Linked DNA regions of Notamacropus eugenii. The protein of the gene in region 1 interacts with the protein of each later gene in a pairwise test. Links are inferred from orthologs where the notes say so. Each region holds a gene or a part of one and is shown on either strand. Other genes may lie near its edges.

Region 1 (7,960 bases):
CCCCACTACTCTCACTGCTGACAATTTCTCCTTAAAGGTAAAACTTCCTTCCTAAACAAATCCAATTCCTGATGCGTAGAGGGAACTGTGGGGAACACTACATGCTGGAAATCTTCCCTCTTAACAGAGGCAAGAAATTTAGGGAGAGTTGCATTTCAAGTTACCCCCCCCTCCCCGTTGCAAAGTAACTTGTTACCAGACCTGGCACAGGGAAAACTCTCCAGCAGTAGCAGCCAGATCCAAACAAATAAATAGTGAATTAGGGGACGTCGTCTTTCTAAAGCTTTTCATTATCCTACCTCGACAGTGTCAGAGGGCGCTGTCCACAGATCTAGTCCTGTACTAATTCTCCCAGCTCTCTCACAGCCACAGCACAGTCATCATGGCTCAGGAACATACATTTCTTGTCTTACTTACCCTGCGCCCTCCACCCTCCAGAAGATTCCAGCAGAAGCTTGTTTTTCCAGCAGGTCTGAAGGTATTACTTAGTTGTGTCCGGGTGGCAAAGGAGAGCAAAAATGAGTCAGCTTCCAGTTCCTGGTTCTCGCGTCCCTGCACAGTGACGTCATCGCCCAGAAGCAGAGTTAAGAGAGTCTGTATGCAGTCTGCCACTTTTCTACTTTCGCACTCCGCTGAGCTGGGGAACGGACCTGACGGCCCAAGCTTCCTGGAAGTCCGGCCGGTTCTAGTTTCAAAATGAGCAAAGGCACATTCGCGGAGAAGCAGAAACATAGTATTAAAAAGTCATAACAGTAATAATAAGCAAATCTGCTACTGTATAAGGTTTGCTTTCTAACTAGAGGCAGGCAGGTGGGGTGGAAGGGAGATAGAGTAAATAATAAGTAACTTGTCCCTTCTTCTCTAGCATCCTGGCACTAACTAGCTCACTGAATTCCCAAGAATCCCAGGACAGCGGCCCTTTGATCATGACAGCACCAGCCAATCAGCTCTGGTCATATTCTCTTTGCTTAGCCATCTTAACCTGATGGGGACCAGTGATCTGACGCCTTAGCAATGAATGGTCTGTCTGTGTGTCTGTCTGTCTTTATAGTTTGGTTTTGTTTGCTTTTTTCTGAAATGGCCCTCAGGACTCTGTCATTAGAGCAGAAAAAGAAATCGTAATTCACAAATTTTAAATTTATATTCTTCCATTATTTGACATTGTATTAACTGCTCTTACCCTCCTGTGCTGTAAGATAAAATACAGTGAAGTCTCTAAAAGGAAAAAAAATATACTTTTAATCAGGTTTACAGAGGCTAATTATTTTGCTTAAAAGGAACCTAGCCAGAGATAGCTATGAGAGGCAGCACTGCATACTGGAAAAACATTGGATTGAAATTGGAACCTTCCCAACTAATTCCTCAGTCCCTCACAATCTAACTGTCCACTATTCTCCCCAGGTTCATCAATGAGCTTTTAATTGCTACATTTTAATTATTTATCAAGGTTACTTATTAACATTTTCTTAATTACTATATGGCTTTCTTTTATTTTTTATTTGCCTATCTTTGTATCCCAATTGCTTAACCCAGTGCGTGGCACATAAGGGAAACTTTAAAAATGTCAACTGACTGCTACATCCATTGCTTACGGCCAGCGAGCAAGCACAAAAACTCAAGTTTGGAGAAGGAATGCAAGAAAATGAGACACAATGAACTTCAGGACACCAGTGGAATGAGACTCCAGAACACTGCAAAGTCACTGCTGAAAATGCCACAGCCGGAGGAGGGAGTGGGGAGAGAGTGAGCCAGACAAAGAGCTTGTCTGGCATGGAGGGGGAGACTGAAAGAAGAGCACCCTCTGCTAGAAGCTGGAATCACAAAGATAGCTATGACAAATACTATTCTCAAGGGGCTTAAGATCTAAATGGGGGGCGGGGAAGGAGGGAAGGAAACGGGAAGGAAGGAGGGTAGTTTAAATAAACAATGACTCTGAGAAAGTAAAATCCAGATAAAAGTGCAAAGAGGAACAGCTCATTTTTGCCTAGATAATTAGGAAAGGGAAATCTTTCTGGAGATGGTGGTAGCTTAAAAGAGGTAACTTGAGGGGAACGGTTGTCTAGTGGATAGTGGCAGACTTGCAGTCCAAAAGACCCAGATTCAATCCAGACCCAGACATATATTAGATAAAATAAACGAGCCAGATGTCACTTAATCTCTCTGAGTCTCAGTTTTCTCATCCGTGAAATGAAGGGGTTGAACTTGCAGATGTCTAAAGTTTTTTCCAGCTCAGGATCTATGATTTTAGGACTTCAGAGGTAGGAACATAGGATTGAATCAAGTGATCAGGCAGACAAGCTAGCCCCGAATTTGTACTTTAGTCCTTCCTGAGAATAAGTGCTACAAAATATTCCTCACTGGCACATCTTGTTCCCCACTGGGCCCTGGACCTTGCTTTACTTTCTCATTCCCCTTTCAAATTGCATATATGTATTGATTACTTCTTATGTGCTAGGTGCTCTGAGGCTCCAGAGAGAGGCAATGCCTGTGTTCCAGGGGCACCTACCCTTTAGGCGGGAAACAAGGCACCAGCATGTGACTAGTCACATGATGGTGAAAGATTTGAGTAGTTCAGTTAATAGAAGGGATGTTGCAAGACTACGTGTGATTGTCAAATGAATTCCACTGAAAATAACTCACAAGAGTTTAAAGGAAGGAAACATTGCCACAGACTAGAATCACTTTTTTGCCTTTCTTTTTTTAGTTTCTCTCTCTCTCTCTCTCTCTCTCTCTCTCTCTCTCTCTCTCTCTCTCTCTCTCTGTCTTTGTCTCTGTCTCTTCCTTCCTTGTTCAAGTTTACTTGTTAAACCATAACCTTTAACATTTCTTATTTCTTTTTTCCTTTCTTGGAAATTTCACTGATCTTACCTGCTTCTCTGGATTAATCCTCTCCAGTCTGGCCAGACTCAATCTCTTTCATTCTATCCACCTTTCTTAGGTCAGGTTCAACACATCCTATCATCTCTACAAATCTGATGCCACCAGAGAAGAATCCTTAAGAAGAGATCTTTCTCCAAACTTCTTTTGCTCCTCACTCTGTCCTTCTTGGACTTTGGTGTGGAAAACATACCACTTATGTTCCCCTTGAGTCCTATAGTGACGTTCAGGACACGAAGTTCTAGAACCTTGGGCTATATGTCATAGAATCAGAGAATCTCAGGGCTGGACAAGATCTTGAGAATTACCTACATTAGACGATACCAGAAGAATGAAGATATGTCCTTGAGAGCATGATGCAATTAAAAAAAACCCCAACAAAACATTTGGCTTAGAGTTATGATGGGGAGGTGGGATGTGGACCCGCAAAAGCTCTAAAACCACTTCTCTGAAAGTAACCCAGCTCCACCCCACTCCTTTTGTGAGAAAATTTTCCCTTGTTGCATGCCTCCCTCTTTAATTCCTTTACTAAGACAGAGACAGGGATACTGATCCAAGGACTCTTTCCCAGGGTGCCTGCCCAAGGATCTTGTCTGTGGTGCTTGCCCAAGGTCCATGCCTCTGGCAACTCAACAAAAACAACAAAAAACACAACTTTCTTTTCTCCTTCAATGTCTGGCATACTCCCTACACTTTCCCATCCATAATTCCCAAGGACACCTGGACCCTTAAATTATCTACCCTGGCATTCCTTCTCCATGCCCCTTTTCCATATAAAACCCAACACTATCCTCAGTCTCTTGTAGGTTCTATAAGGACTCTTGCCCTCTTCTATTGGCTTCTGTTATTCTATGATAAACTGCCTCTTGACTAAAAGACGGCTTGAGCATGTGAATTCATTCCAGGGAACTCTACCCTGGCATTTTTGGGTCCCAGTACCCCCAAGCACCCCCAAACCTCTTCAGTTATACCTAGAATTTGGGCTGACTCTGACCAGCTATGTATCCCTAGTAGTCACTTCGTATTTTTTCTGTGCCTCGGTTTCCTCATCTTCAAAATGGGAGTAATAATACTTGTACTACCTACCTCACTGGAAAACACCAAAGTTTTAAATAAATCATAGGATCATATATTTAGATTTGGACCTCAGAAGGAATCTCTAGGTTGGCCTCAGAGTAATGACTTTTTCAGCCACAGCCATTCTTGAAGACTGTGTCAGTAAGCACCCCAACACACACAGGGAGGCCTGCTATCACAGGTTCTTAGATCTGCATTCATAAAAGGAAAGGCAGCTTTTGAGGGGTTAACAATCACTTTAATCAAGCACATGTATCATTCCTTTAACCAAGCACATATATCATTCATCTAGTTCAGGGGAATCAGCACCTTGAACTTCAAAGAAAATGGTTGGTTGGTTGGTTGTTGTCCTTCGTTTTCGAAGAAGACCACAATGACATCACCATAATAACATGAAAATTCAGTGTGTCTGTCTGTGGCTGATCAGACCAGCACAAGCTCAGAATGCTCTATCACAGGTTGGGCATAGATAGTCTGTGTGAATATTTGGGGTGGATACCCCAAATTCATGCATCCTACATTTCCTTTGTGCTGTCTCAATTCTGCTTTGCTCAAAGAGCACAGCACCCTTTCTGATGTGGACATGCCATGCTGAGAGGTCCTGCGCCAGTGTCTCCCATGTTGCACAATCAAATTCAAACTTTTTGAGAGAGAACTTGAGTGTCCTTGTATCGCTTCTTCTGATCACCATGTGATTGCTTGCCCTATGCGAGTTCTCCATAAAATAGTCTTTTTGGCAATCGTACATTTTGCATTTGAACAACGTGGCCAGCCCACTGGAGTTGAAGCATGGTTTGAATGCTTGGCAGTTCAGCTTGAGCAAGGACTTCAGTGTCTGGTACCTTATCCTGCCAGGTGATCCTTAGAATCTTCCTAAGACAATTCAAATGGAAGCAATTCAGTTACCCCAATGAAAACCAATGAAGTCTTTAGTAATAAAAGGTGTGTAGTCCAGCATATAGGAATAAGATCAGAGTTGGTTACGGGGGATGCTAGTAAATGCAGGGTGTCCCAATAGTCTTAGTGTAGTTTTAAGGCTTAATAGCTCTAAACTTTACTAAGACTTATGGGATATTCTATATACATTTGGGTTCATAAAAGGCAGCTATTACAAGTTTCTACAAATGTGCTGTGAATTGTGAATAGAAAAATGGTGTCATCATTAATTTTAAAAAGGTGTCTTAAAAATCTCCTATTGAGCATGATGTTTGTATGGGTATGCTTGTAGCACCTCATGCTATTCCCACATTTAATGTGGCTGTTTGGGGTAAACAGACTAGTGAACACAAGTCAAACCCCAATCCAGTGAAAAATTTCTCTCTTTCACTACATCATAATAATATTTACATACAATACAAGATAGTGAGTCCACAAGTATTAAGCATTTTGCAGTTGTTGTTTCATCATTTTTCAGTTATGTCCAACTTTTTGTGACTCCGTTTAAAGTTTTCTTAGCAAAGATATTAGAGTGGTTTATCATTTGCTTTTCCAGCTCATTTTGTAGATGTGAGGCAAACAGAGTTTTATTAGTTTCTTAACTGAGATGTGAAAAAAGACAAACAAGGAAAGGAATCAAACAATAAATTGTTTTTCTGCAATATCCTATATGTCCAGGGAAATTTCAGTCTAATTCTTTAATTCCTGATTCCCTAGCATAGTGGGAGACAGTCACATCTTCATCATCCTCAACATCATCACCATCATCACTACCCACCACCACCACCACCACCATCGTCTTCACCATAATCGCTAACATTTATGTGGCATTTTAAGGTTTGCAAAGTGTTTTACATATATGATCTCATTTGATCTCATAGCTTCAACGGTAAATGTTCACAGTACAATGTCATCGACCTGAGGCAGTTAGGTAAATAGAAGGAGGGAGAGATACCTGGAGTTAGGAAGACTTGGGTTCAAATCCAATCTCACTCACTTATTACTGGGGAGACAACCTTTTTGTCTCAGTTTCCTCAACTGTAAAATAAGGATAATAGCAGCACCCACACCTCAGGGTTCCTGTGAAGATCAAACGAGATGATAATTGTAAAGTGCCTAGCACATAGTAGTCTCTATATAAATGCTTATCTCCATCCCATCCTTTTCAGCCATTTCTTGCAGTGTACTGGAAAGCTGGCTGAAAGTTTTTGTCTCAGTTCTGGAGTATGATGGTCCAGCTATAACTCCTATTTCCAGAGCCACGATGCTTATACTGCTTCACAGTGGTCTGTGCTGACTTATCTCTCCAGGTCTATTCCCTTCACCCAGCAGACTCCTTTAAAACCTCTGATGTAAGAGCACACTTCCTAGCTCTCTGCCTAGTGATGTCATCACACAGGCACATAAACAGTCCTCTGGGAAAATATATCCCACAAAATCTCAACCAATGATTGATGCTTCTTTAGTCCCAAGTGTTGTGGGTTAAGAAGTTTCATGGTGACATTTGTGCTACATAGAAAGATTGACTATTGCCTCTGTGTACAATTTAGCTTAATCTTTTTTTATTCTAGGGTTTACTCATTAATTTTATCACATGAGGTGACAGGGATGAATGCCTCTTTCCAAACACCAGCAGGAGTAAGGATGATAAATAACTCTTCACTCATATTTGCAAGGGAAAATTTCTTGTTCTCCCTTTGTGAGGCAAATCTTTCTCCTGGACCTGCTCACAGGAATTCCAATTCCAGCATTATTAGACAAGGGTAGAAAAATGATGCACTGAAGAAAAGGAGAGTGGAATGTAACCATGCTGTCAGAACCCTATCCAATCACTTCCATTCACAAGTCTGGTCGAGTTCTGCCCAGGTTCAGAGAGACAACATTCTTGCTTATGTAGCCACTACCACTGGCAGTCACTCCAGAGATCTCCAGAAGAGGGTACCACCTATTTGGGTCTAGTGAAAGGTGTGATTTGCACCACTTTCTGACACTAGGCTCACAAGTTCAGCCTATTAGAGTGTGTGAGGAAATTCCTGAGTCTCTCTTTTTAAAAAGAAGCGTAGAAACAGGTTGGGAGTCAAAAGACATGGGTTCTAATTAAGATACATCTTCTAGAGTCAAGAAATAATACACACGCTGTATACAACAGTATAAATGGAAAGAGCAATAATATAAAAAATCAAAAGTGAATCTTGCAAAATTATAAAATACACCCATGTCTCAAAAGAAGAGACAGGACAAGACATTTCCATCACACATGCCTCTTTGAGGAGATGGGAGGTGCACACGTGTTACACATTGCATGTATTTTCAGATTTTTTTCAGCGCATTGATCAGTTATTCTGATTTTTGTCCTTTTCTTTTTTCTTTTCCTATCTTTAAAAATACTATTTTTTATATGGAATAGTTCTCTGGGAGGGGAAGGAGGATACTGGGAGAAATTATGGCAGTGTAAAAAACCAAAATACATTTTTTAAAGATTCATCCACTAGTTTACTACATGGACTTTGGGAAGTCACTTCATTTTTTTTAGGCCTCATTTTCCCATTTTGTAAAATGAATTGGTTGGATTAGGTGACCTCTGAGATTCTCTCCAGGTCTAAATCTATGATCCTATGAACCTGTGTATCTATAGAGATAATAAAAATGTTATTGACTTAGACTATTTAAAAACCAGGCCCGTCAGAAGTAGTGACATTATATAACTTTCTTTAAAAAAAAGGTAGTCATTACTTTTCATTATATTTTTATAATAACAAGCTAGGCTGATGAAATGTGAAGAGGTACGGTAGAACAGTGGAATTTGGATCTGTAGGATTCAGATTTGGAGAAATTCAGTTCAAATCCCAGCTCTGCCATTTACTGTGGGATCTTGGGTGAGTTACCTAACCTCTCTAGGGCTCCAGTTCTTCATCGGTAAAAAGGAAGGGATTGGACTAGACGATCTAGTAACAATTCTATGATCCTGTGATTTATCAGAAAAACATAGGCTTGGCCCTGCCCACAGGAACACTGACATGGAACTTTAGGGGACTGAGGTATTCATTCAGGCTGGATATTCCTCAAGTTA
Region 2 (7,856 bases), on another chromosome or scaffold:
TCCTTCCTTTCCCTCACCCCACATAGTCAATCAAGTTGCCAAATCTTATCATTTCCAACCTCCTTGTATCCATTCCCTTCTCTCCAATCACACAACCACTCACCTACTTCAGGTCTTCATCACCTCTCACCTGGACTATTAAAATAGCCTCCTAAGTAACCTCCCCATCCCAAGTCTCTTCCTATTTCAGTCCATCATCCACACAGCTGCCAACATGATTTTCCTAAAGCTCAGGGGTGATCGTGTCATTCCCCTACTCAATAAACTCTAATGTCTCCCTGTTACCTATAGGATCAAATCAAAACTCTTCTGTTTGGCATTTAAACCCTTTCACCACCTGGATTCATCCTCTCTCTTTAGTTTTATCACTCCCCTTCACACTTACTACCCTCCGGCTAAACTGTTCATCTTACAGTTACTCAGATGTGCCAGCTAACTCCATGTCTTTGAACTGGCTGTCCCTCATATCTGAAATGTAATCCCTGCCCAGCTAGGTGGGGCAGTGGATAGTGCACTGGACTTGGTGGAGTCAGGAAGTCCAGAGTTCAAATGTAGCCTCAGACACTTAACAGCTGTGGGAACTTGAGCAAGTTACTTAAAACTCTCTGCCTTAGTTTCCTCCAATGTAAAATGAGTTTAGTAGCAACCACCTCCCAGGGTTGTTGTGAGGATCAAATGAGATAGTGCCTGGTCCACAGTAGATGCTGTTTAAATGTTAGCTATTTATTATTATTACCTTTGATCCTTAGAATCCCTTGTTTCTTCCAGGCTCAGCTCGAGCCACCTTCTCCTGAAGGCTCCAAACGAAGCCTTTCCTGATCCCCCTGGTTACTAATGCCTTCCTCCCAATATTTTCTTGTATCTATCATGCTTCTGTTTTGCATATTCCTATCTATATGTATGTTTGTATCCATTCACTAGATTGTAAGCTCCTCAAGGACTGATTCACTCTTACCTTTATATTCCCAGCACCTACCATAGTATTCATGGTGCAACCAAGGTTGCAAACATAAGCAATCATGTTATGGCTTGGTCTGTTTATTGATCCCTCAGGCACTGGAAAGCTCTGGGTCACTGAGACCTCAACAGATACCTTAGAAAACTGGCTGAATGGGTTCAGTAATTTGCCTTGGTAAACTTGTGATGTCTTATCTAGAAGACCCAGGAGGTCTGATCTGTATCTGCCTAAGATGTAGCTCCATGTAGCCCCTACCCCCACCTGATCTTTGACTAATGAACTGATTAATCATTAATCCCCCTGGAAGGGGGGGGGGGAGGGCTTTGTCCTTGGCCCTACCATTCCACACTTTTATCAACTACTTAGATAATGGCATATCTGGCATTCTTATGAAATCATGGAAGAAATGAAGCTGAGTAGACTAACTCTATATATTAGACAACAGTTTCAAAATCTATTACGTGTTTCTGAATTTAAGGAAGAGAAACACAGCTCATAGTCCCAGGGAATTTACCTTTTTTAAGTTATTAAAAGAAGATCTCTTAACAGTTTGAGATGCAGCCACCTTAGACCCTTTCTTTATAATCCCTAACATATCAGAGCAAGGATAAGCTTTCCTAGGCCTAGCAGTGCCTTGCCCATAGAAGACACTTAACAAACGTTCCTTGAATTCATTAACTTGAATCGCTGAACTGACCCGAGTGGCTCCTAAATATTGGGGCATATGCTATTTTATGCTCAGGAGCAAACAAAAGGAGCTGGTCTCCTTTACACTGCACCAGCACAGGGTAAACAGGCTCAGGAACATTGGGAATGCCCATCAGGAGTAAGGGACTGGGGGAATTCTTTTGGGGCTTAGTGGTTGCACCTATCCATTCCTGGGATATCCCCTGGGAGAAGAGGTCTAGACTACTTTAGTAAATGAAAAAATCTCAGTAGGCTGGAGCAGTGAGCAAATCCAAAAGAGACAGAACATTTCATAGGAATTAATGTAAAGTTCTATATTTAGGTTCAAAAAAATCAACTATACAGGTCCAGAATGGGGAAGAAATGTCTAGACTGTTACACATGAAAAGACCCTAGAATTTTTCAAGAACTCTAAGGACCATGTGAATCAATAGCTAGAAAAAGAGTTAATAGTTACATATTTCATAGATTATAGAGCCATAAATCTGGAAATGGAAGGGACTTTGGAGGCCAACCCCATCAATTACAGATGATGAAACCAAGACCCCGGGGAGGTTCACCTACTCACCCAAAGTCACACAAGTGCAATGTCAGATGCTGGGAATACAAAGAAAGGCAAAACCAGTTCCTTCAGGCCATACAAAGGAAGGAGGCAGTGTGTCCAATTCCAAAATGGGCCAGTATGGCTAGATTGTAGACCTCGAGGAAGTAAGTCAATACTGAAAAGCTAGAAGGGGGCAAGGTTATGAAGAGTTTCAGGGGTCCAACAAAAGACATCTGATCCTGAGGTTAATAAGGAGCTAGTGAAATTTATTTAATAGGGAGGTGACACAGGAAGAACTCCATTTTGGAAAATCATTTTAACAGCTGAGTGGAGGATGGATCAGTCTGGGGAAAGACTTGAGGAAGGAAAATCCATTAAAAGGCTATTTCAGTAATCCAGAAAAGAGGTGATGAGAGTCAGAAGTAGGGTAGTAGCTGTAGGAATGCAGAGACAAGTGTGTTGTAAAGGTAGAAATGACAAGATTTGCCCACTGAATGGATAGGGGAGATGGGTATGAGCAGGGAGGCCAGGTTGATGTCAAAGTTGCAAACATGGGTGACCAGGAAGATGGTGATACCCTTGACAATAACAGGGCATATTTAAGGGCATTTGTAATGAGTTCTGTTTGGGAAATATTGAGTTTGAGATGTGTATTAGACATCCAATTTGAAATGTCCAGTAGACGGTTGGTGATGTGTTTTGGAGCTCAGCAGATAAATGAGGGTTGATATATAGATCCAGGAATCATCTGCATACAGATGATAATTGAACTTTGGGGAGCTAATGAGATAGTAGAAAGACAAAGAAGAAGAACAGAGCCTATGACAGCATTTAGCACAGGGCCCCAGTGCTTGGCACAATGGCTCATTTTGGGTCTCAGGAAATCTTTATATTCCCTTATTGGGAACTGCAAAGAGCTTTTGTTTATGTGGGTTACATCTACCAATATTTACTGTATTAGGAATTAAAACTAATCATTTAAAACATTTTCTTATTAATTCATTTAAAATAACAATAATGAACCCACCATATGTTAACAAAAATAACATTTTTTATGAAAAATAACCATAATTTCCAAAACAAAAACAAATTTAGTGAGAAGAGTAGTATTATTTTACTCATTTGTAAATCTCTTTAACTTCTAGCTTAATAGAAGACAAATGGATTCTCAAATCTGCTTTTGCATTCCATCTGTTATGATATATTGTTTTAAAGTATATGAAGAAAATCCAGCTTTACAAAAATGTGAAGTTGGATAAGAGGAGTATTTTAATAGCCTTTCCACATCGTTGTGGATATCTTCTCTGATGCTATGCCAAAACTCAACAGGTGCTAGTTTCTTAAAGGTTAGTTGCAAAGGAAACTGTATCAGTGAACTTTTCATGCTCTGTTACATTAAAACCCAATGTATCTTGCACTTCAAATGGATATTTTACTCGCGTGATTTTATAGCGTGGAAATTTGGAAATTATTGCTCCATTAAATCATGCAGAGCTTCCAAACGTTGACACATTTCATTACATAATATCTCCCCAAAACCACATTTGTTAATATCATTACGCCCCTCGTCTGAAAAGCCACAAAATCCCTAAGTCATCACTAAGAACGGTTATCTAAGTTATCTAAGGCCTGAGTCCTCCTCTGTAGGACCAGGACAGAGTCCACTCCAAGGTTAAGATCTTATGTCCTGGGAAGGGCCTGGAGCTCACCCAAAGATAAAAGCATGGAACTTTCCAAGTACGGAAGGAGTTTGCCACCTCGCTCTGAGATGATTATTTCCTAATATAATGATATGAAAATAAGGAGATGAAGTCCTTTCTCCGCCTCCTAGCTGCCCTGGCTTCCTTCTCCTCTCAGGCGAAGCTGCCCCTTTTGCAGACAGCCTTTCCCGGTTCTGTTCGATGAGGTGCTGGCCCATTTTATCCTGTCTCCGTCTCATTGTACGTAGCTGCCCGTGCCTTGCCTCTGCCGCTAGACTGATCCTCAGGAGAGCCGGGTTTCGCCTTCATTGGCGTCTCCTGTGCCTAGCTCGGAGCGCTCAGACCAGTACTGGCGGGCCGGAGGGGCTGAGGCTGCTGAGAAGACGCGTCATCCCCAGTTCTGGGAGAGGACGGGACCCTCAGGGGGGGCTGTCTGGGTTTGGACTGAACTGGATTGGAGGGAGCTAGGGCTGTACACAGTCACCAGCCTCACTCTTCCTCCGGAGCCACCTGGGTCCGGTGGCAGGATACAGAACAGGACGACTGGATCTTTACACACCGACAGGCCACGCCAGCCCCCTGAACGTCCAGGGCCCGGACAAACCGAAGGGGCGGGCCTGGCTGGAGGAAAGGTGCCCACCAACCAGAAGAGCCTTGTCCCTGAAGCCCCGCCCCTCAGGAGAGGGCCAGAGAGCAGTGGGCGTGTCTTTTGGTGGGGCGGGGCCTGGCCGTACGGAGAGCGGCGGAGATTGGTGAGAAAGCAGTCCGACTCCGCCTTCCCTGAGCCGCACCCACTCCGGGCCCACCTCCCCCTCCTATTGGGGCGCCCCGCGGAGGGGGCGGGTCCTAGCCGAGCCCTTTGCCCTAGGGCGCTGCGGAAATGCGCGCCCCAGCTCCCCGGGCACTTCCGGGCCGCGCAGCGTCCCCGCCCCCGGACGCTCGGGAGACGCCTCCATGGAGCGACAGGTACGGGCTCGGCGCCCTTCAGCTCCGGTTCGGCTGCCTCCCGCTCTGCTGCCGCGGCCTGACCCGTGTGTTCCCCCCGCGCAGGTGCTGACGAGCGAGCCGGACGAGGCCGCGGCGCTGTACCGCGCGCTGAGCCGCCACCCCGCGCTGGTCTCCGCCGGCCTGGGTGCCGAGATCACCAGCCAGTACGGTGGCAAGTACCGCACGGTGCACACAGGTGCCGCACGGGGAGGGGCAGGGAGGCCCCGAGGGGCCTGCGGGCACGTGGACGGCGCGCGATCCGGGGATCCAGGGACCCAAGGGTGCGGGGCGGGCGTGACGGCCGCGGAGAGGAAGGCGGCTGGGGGGTGTGGCCCCGGGGGACGCGGAAAACCGAGGCCGGAGATGGGGCTGGGGGTCACGGCCGTGGCGGGGCCCGGAGATCGGGCTGGGGGTCACGGCCGTGGCGGGGCCGGAGGCCGTGGGCGGGGCCGGGAGATCGGGCTGGGGGTCACGGCCGTGGCGGGGCCCGGAGATGGGGCTGGGGGTCACGGCCGTGGCGGGGCCCGGAGATCGGGCTGGGGGTCACGGCCGTGGCGGGGCCGGAGGCCGTGGGCGGGGCCGGGAGATCGGGCTGGGGGTCACGGCCGTGGCGGGGCCCGGAGATGGGGCTGGGGGTCACGGCCGTGGCGGGGCCCGGAGATCGGGCTGGGGGTCACGGCCGTGGCGGGCCCGGAGATGGGGCTGGGGGTCACGGCCGTGGCGGGGCCGGAGGCCGTGGGCGGGGCCGGGAGATCGGGCTGGGGGTCACGGCCGAGGTGGGGCCCGGAGATCGGGCTGGGGGTCACGGCCGTGGCGGGGCCCGGAGATCGGGCTGGGGGGGCTGGGGGTCACGGCTGAGGTGGGGCCCGGAGAGCGGGCTGGGGGTCACGGCCGTGGCGGGCCCGGAGATCGGGCTGGGGGTCACGGCCGAGGTGGGGCCCGGAGATCGGGCTGGGGGTCACGGCCGTGGCGGGGCCCGGAGATCGGGCTGGGGGTCACGGCCGTGGCGGGGCCCGGAGATCGGGCTGGGGGTCACGGCCGTGGCGGGCCCGGAGATCGGGCTGGGGGTCACGGCCGAGGTGGGGCCCGGAGATCGGGCTGGGGGTCACGGCCGTGGGCGGTGCCCGGGATGACCTCGTGAGCTAGGAGGACTTCCAGCCAGTTCTCCCACGTTTGGACTTGTCCGTAAAGTGGCGGCGTTGTACTGGCTGAACCTCCACGTTCTCCTTCAGCTTTAACGCTCGCGTTCAATGGCCTGGTGGCCTCTTCGGCAGGATGACGCTGCGGGGACTGGGGGGGAAAGGGCTTGGGCTGGGAGGCGGGGATGAAAAACCAGGCCGAACTGGGGCTGCAGAGTCCGGGCTTCCCCTTACAGAATGGACCCAGCGAGACCTGGATCGGATGGAGAGTATCCGGTTCTGCCGCCAGTATCTCGTGTTCCACGATGGTGGCTCTGTGGTGTTTTCTGGACCTGCGGGCAACAGCATTGAAACCAAGGGGGAGTAAGTGTTAGGGGAATAGCCCCGGTACCTCCAGCTGCAGGGATGCTTGTTCAGAGGCTCCTAATCCTACTTCTCCCAAGCCTTCGTTTCTGGGCTGCATCCATGGGATATGTCACAGTAGCCACTGGATAAGCTGGCTGATTCTACTTTCAGTATTTCCTATGGTAGGACCTGATGCATCTCAGTTTTATTGACTAAATATGTCCAACTACTTGCAGGTCTTTCTATGGGAGGTAAGGCTCCCCTCCCAGAGTTTACAGTTTATAAACTGCCACCAGGTCTAGAGAGACTCTGTGTGTCTCTCTAAAGAGAGACAGAATTTCAAAAGATAAAAGAATTAAAGAAAAATTAATGCTAAACTGTTCAGCACTGACTTTTTCCTGTTCTTTACATTTTTCCAGACCTCTCCTCATCTCCAAGAGTCTCGAAGTCATTCAAAACTGCCATTCACAAACTTTTCTGTCTCCAAGGCGCTTCCCTTCCGTCCTTGCCTTCCCTTTCTAAAACTCCTTCACACTGACTGAACTGGTTTTTGCCTTCATGGGGACCTCTAGGCCTCAACTCCTCCCTGACCTCCCATCTTGAATCCTAGGATCAAAAATATCATTGCCTTTTTTATTAGCACCCAAAACTTCATGATTCTCTTGCCTTCTTACTAATCAGTTAAGTGGTATATAAATTATAAATGTGCTAACAGTTCAGAGAAGGGAGGTAGCCTTTGATACCCAAGTAGTTGAAGGAGTTGGGATTTGAACCAAGTCTTGAAGGTTGGGTTGGATTTCAATTTTTGTTTGAGTTTATGGCTCATCGTGTTTTATCTGTGAGAAGTCCCAGCCCAACAAGAAGTTACTTTTTTAAAATCAAATGTTATTATTTTAATGAACAGAAATCTATTTTATCTCCCTCTCACTTTTCACCCCACTGAAAAAGAAAAAAAGAAAAAACAAATTCCTTGCAGCAAATAAGTATAGTCAAACAAAATTCAGGAAGAATTATTTTTTGATAAGAATTAATCCTGTGAGCTGGCAACCGCCCAACAGACAGAACTAGCTTTGGGCAGGGTCAGGAATCATCTGGTGGTGATGTTCCCACAGGCTGCTGAGCAGGGATTCCCCCTCAGGAGCACTGAAGGCTGTGCTGCGAAAGACTGGGAGTTCAAAGACTGGGGAAGAGAAACAGTTCCTGGAGGCAAGTCTTGTCATAGGAGCTTGGTTACACTGGGTGTGGTTCTGTAGGGCCTGTTGGCAGGACGTGGCTTTATCTTTGACAAGGTGGAGGGTTCTCTTTGAGGGCCAGAGTGAGGGAAAATCTAATAGATAAGACATGTAAGGGCAGGAGGTGGTCCTGGGGATCTTCCCTTTTTCATAGAAAATGACTAAGCCAGGCAAAAAAACCAAACCAAACAACCGTAAAACCAGAGAGTGATTTTGCTGCTTTTGGAGAGGAAATGGACTGATAGATGTAGTAGATGGAGGAGA

The links. The genes of interacting proteins can lie anywhere in the genome.
Region 2: the proteins of LGALS8 (region 1) and APEH interact in binary tests that used the Homo sapiens proteins (3 or more experiments, as listed by UniProt). The two-hybrid records come from large-scale screens. The link is inferred for Notamacropus eugenii from reciprocal best matches to the Homo sapiens genes LGALS8 and APEH.

The regions. Positions count from the first base shown.
Region 1 is NC_092873.1:396,204,750-396,212,709, reverse strand, and holds the start of LGALS8 (galectin-8), read right to left. Parts: upstream 3,099-7,960; 5' UTR 2,869-3,098; intron 686-2,868; 5' UTR 418-685; exon of another isoform or gene 300-417; intron 1-299.
Region 2 is NC_092872.1:6,242,316-6,250,171, reverse strand, and holds the start of APEH (acylamino-acid-releasing enzyme), read left to right. Parts: upstream 1-4,756; 5' UTR 4,757-4,843; coding exon 4,844-4,855; intron 4,856-4,939; coding exon 4,940-5,072; intron 5,073-6,251; coding exon 6,252-6,378; intron 6,379-7,472; coding exon 7,473-7,566; intron 7,567-7,856. UniProt on the Homo sapiens protein: This enzyme catalyzes the hydrolysis of the N-terminal peptide bond of an N-acetylated peptide to generate an N-acetylated amino acid and a peptide with a free N-terminus. It preferentially cleaves off Ac-Ala, Ac-Met and Ac-Ser.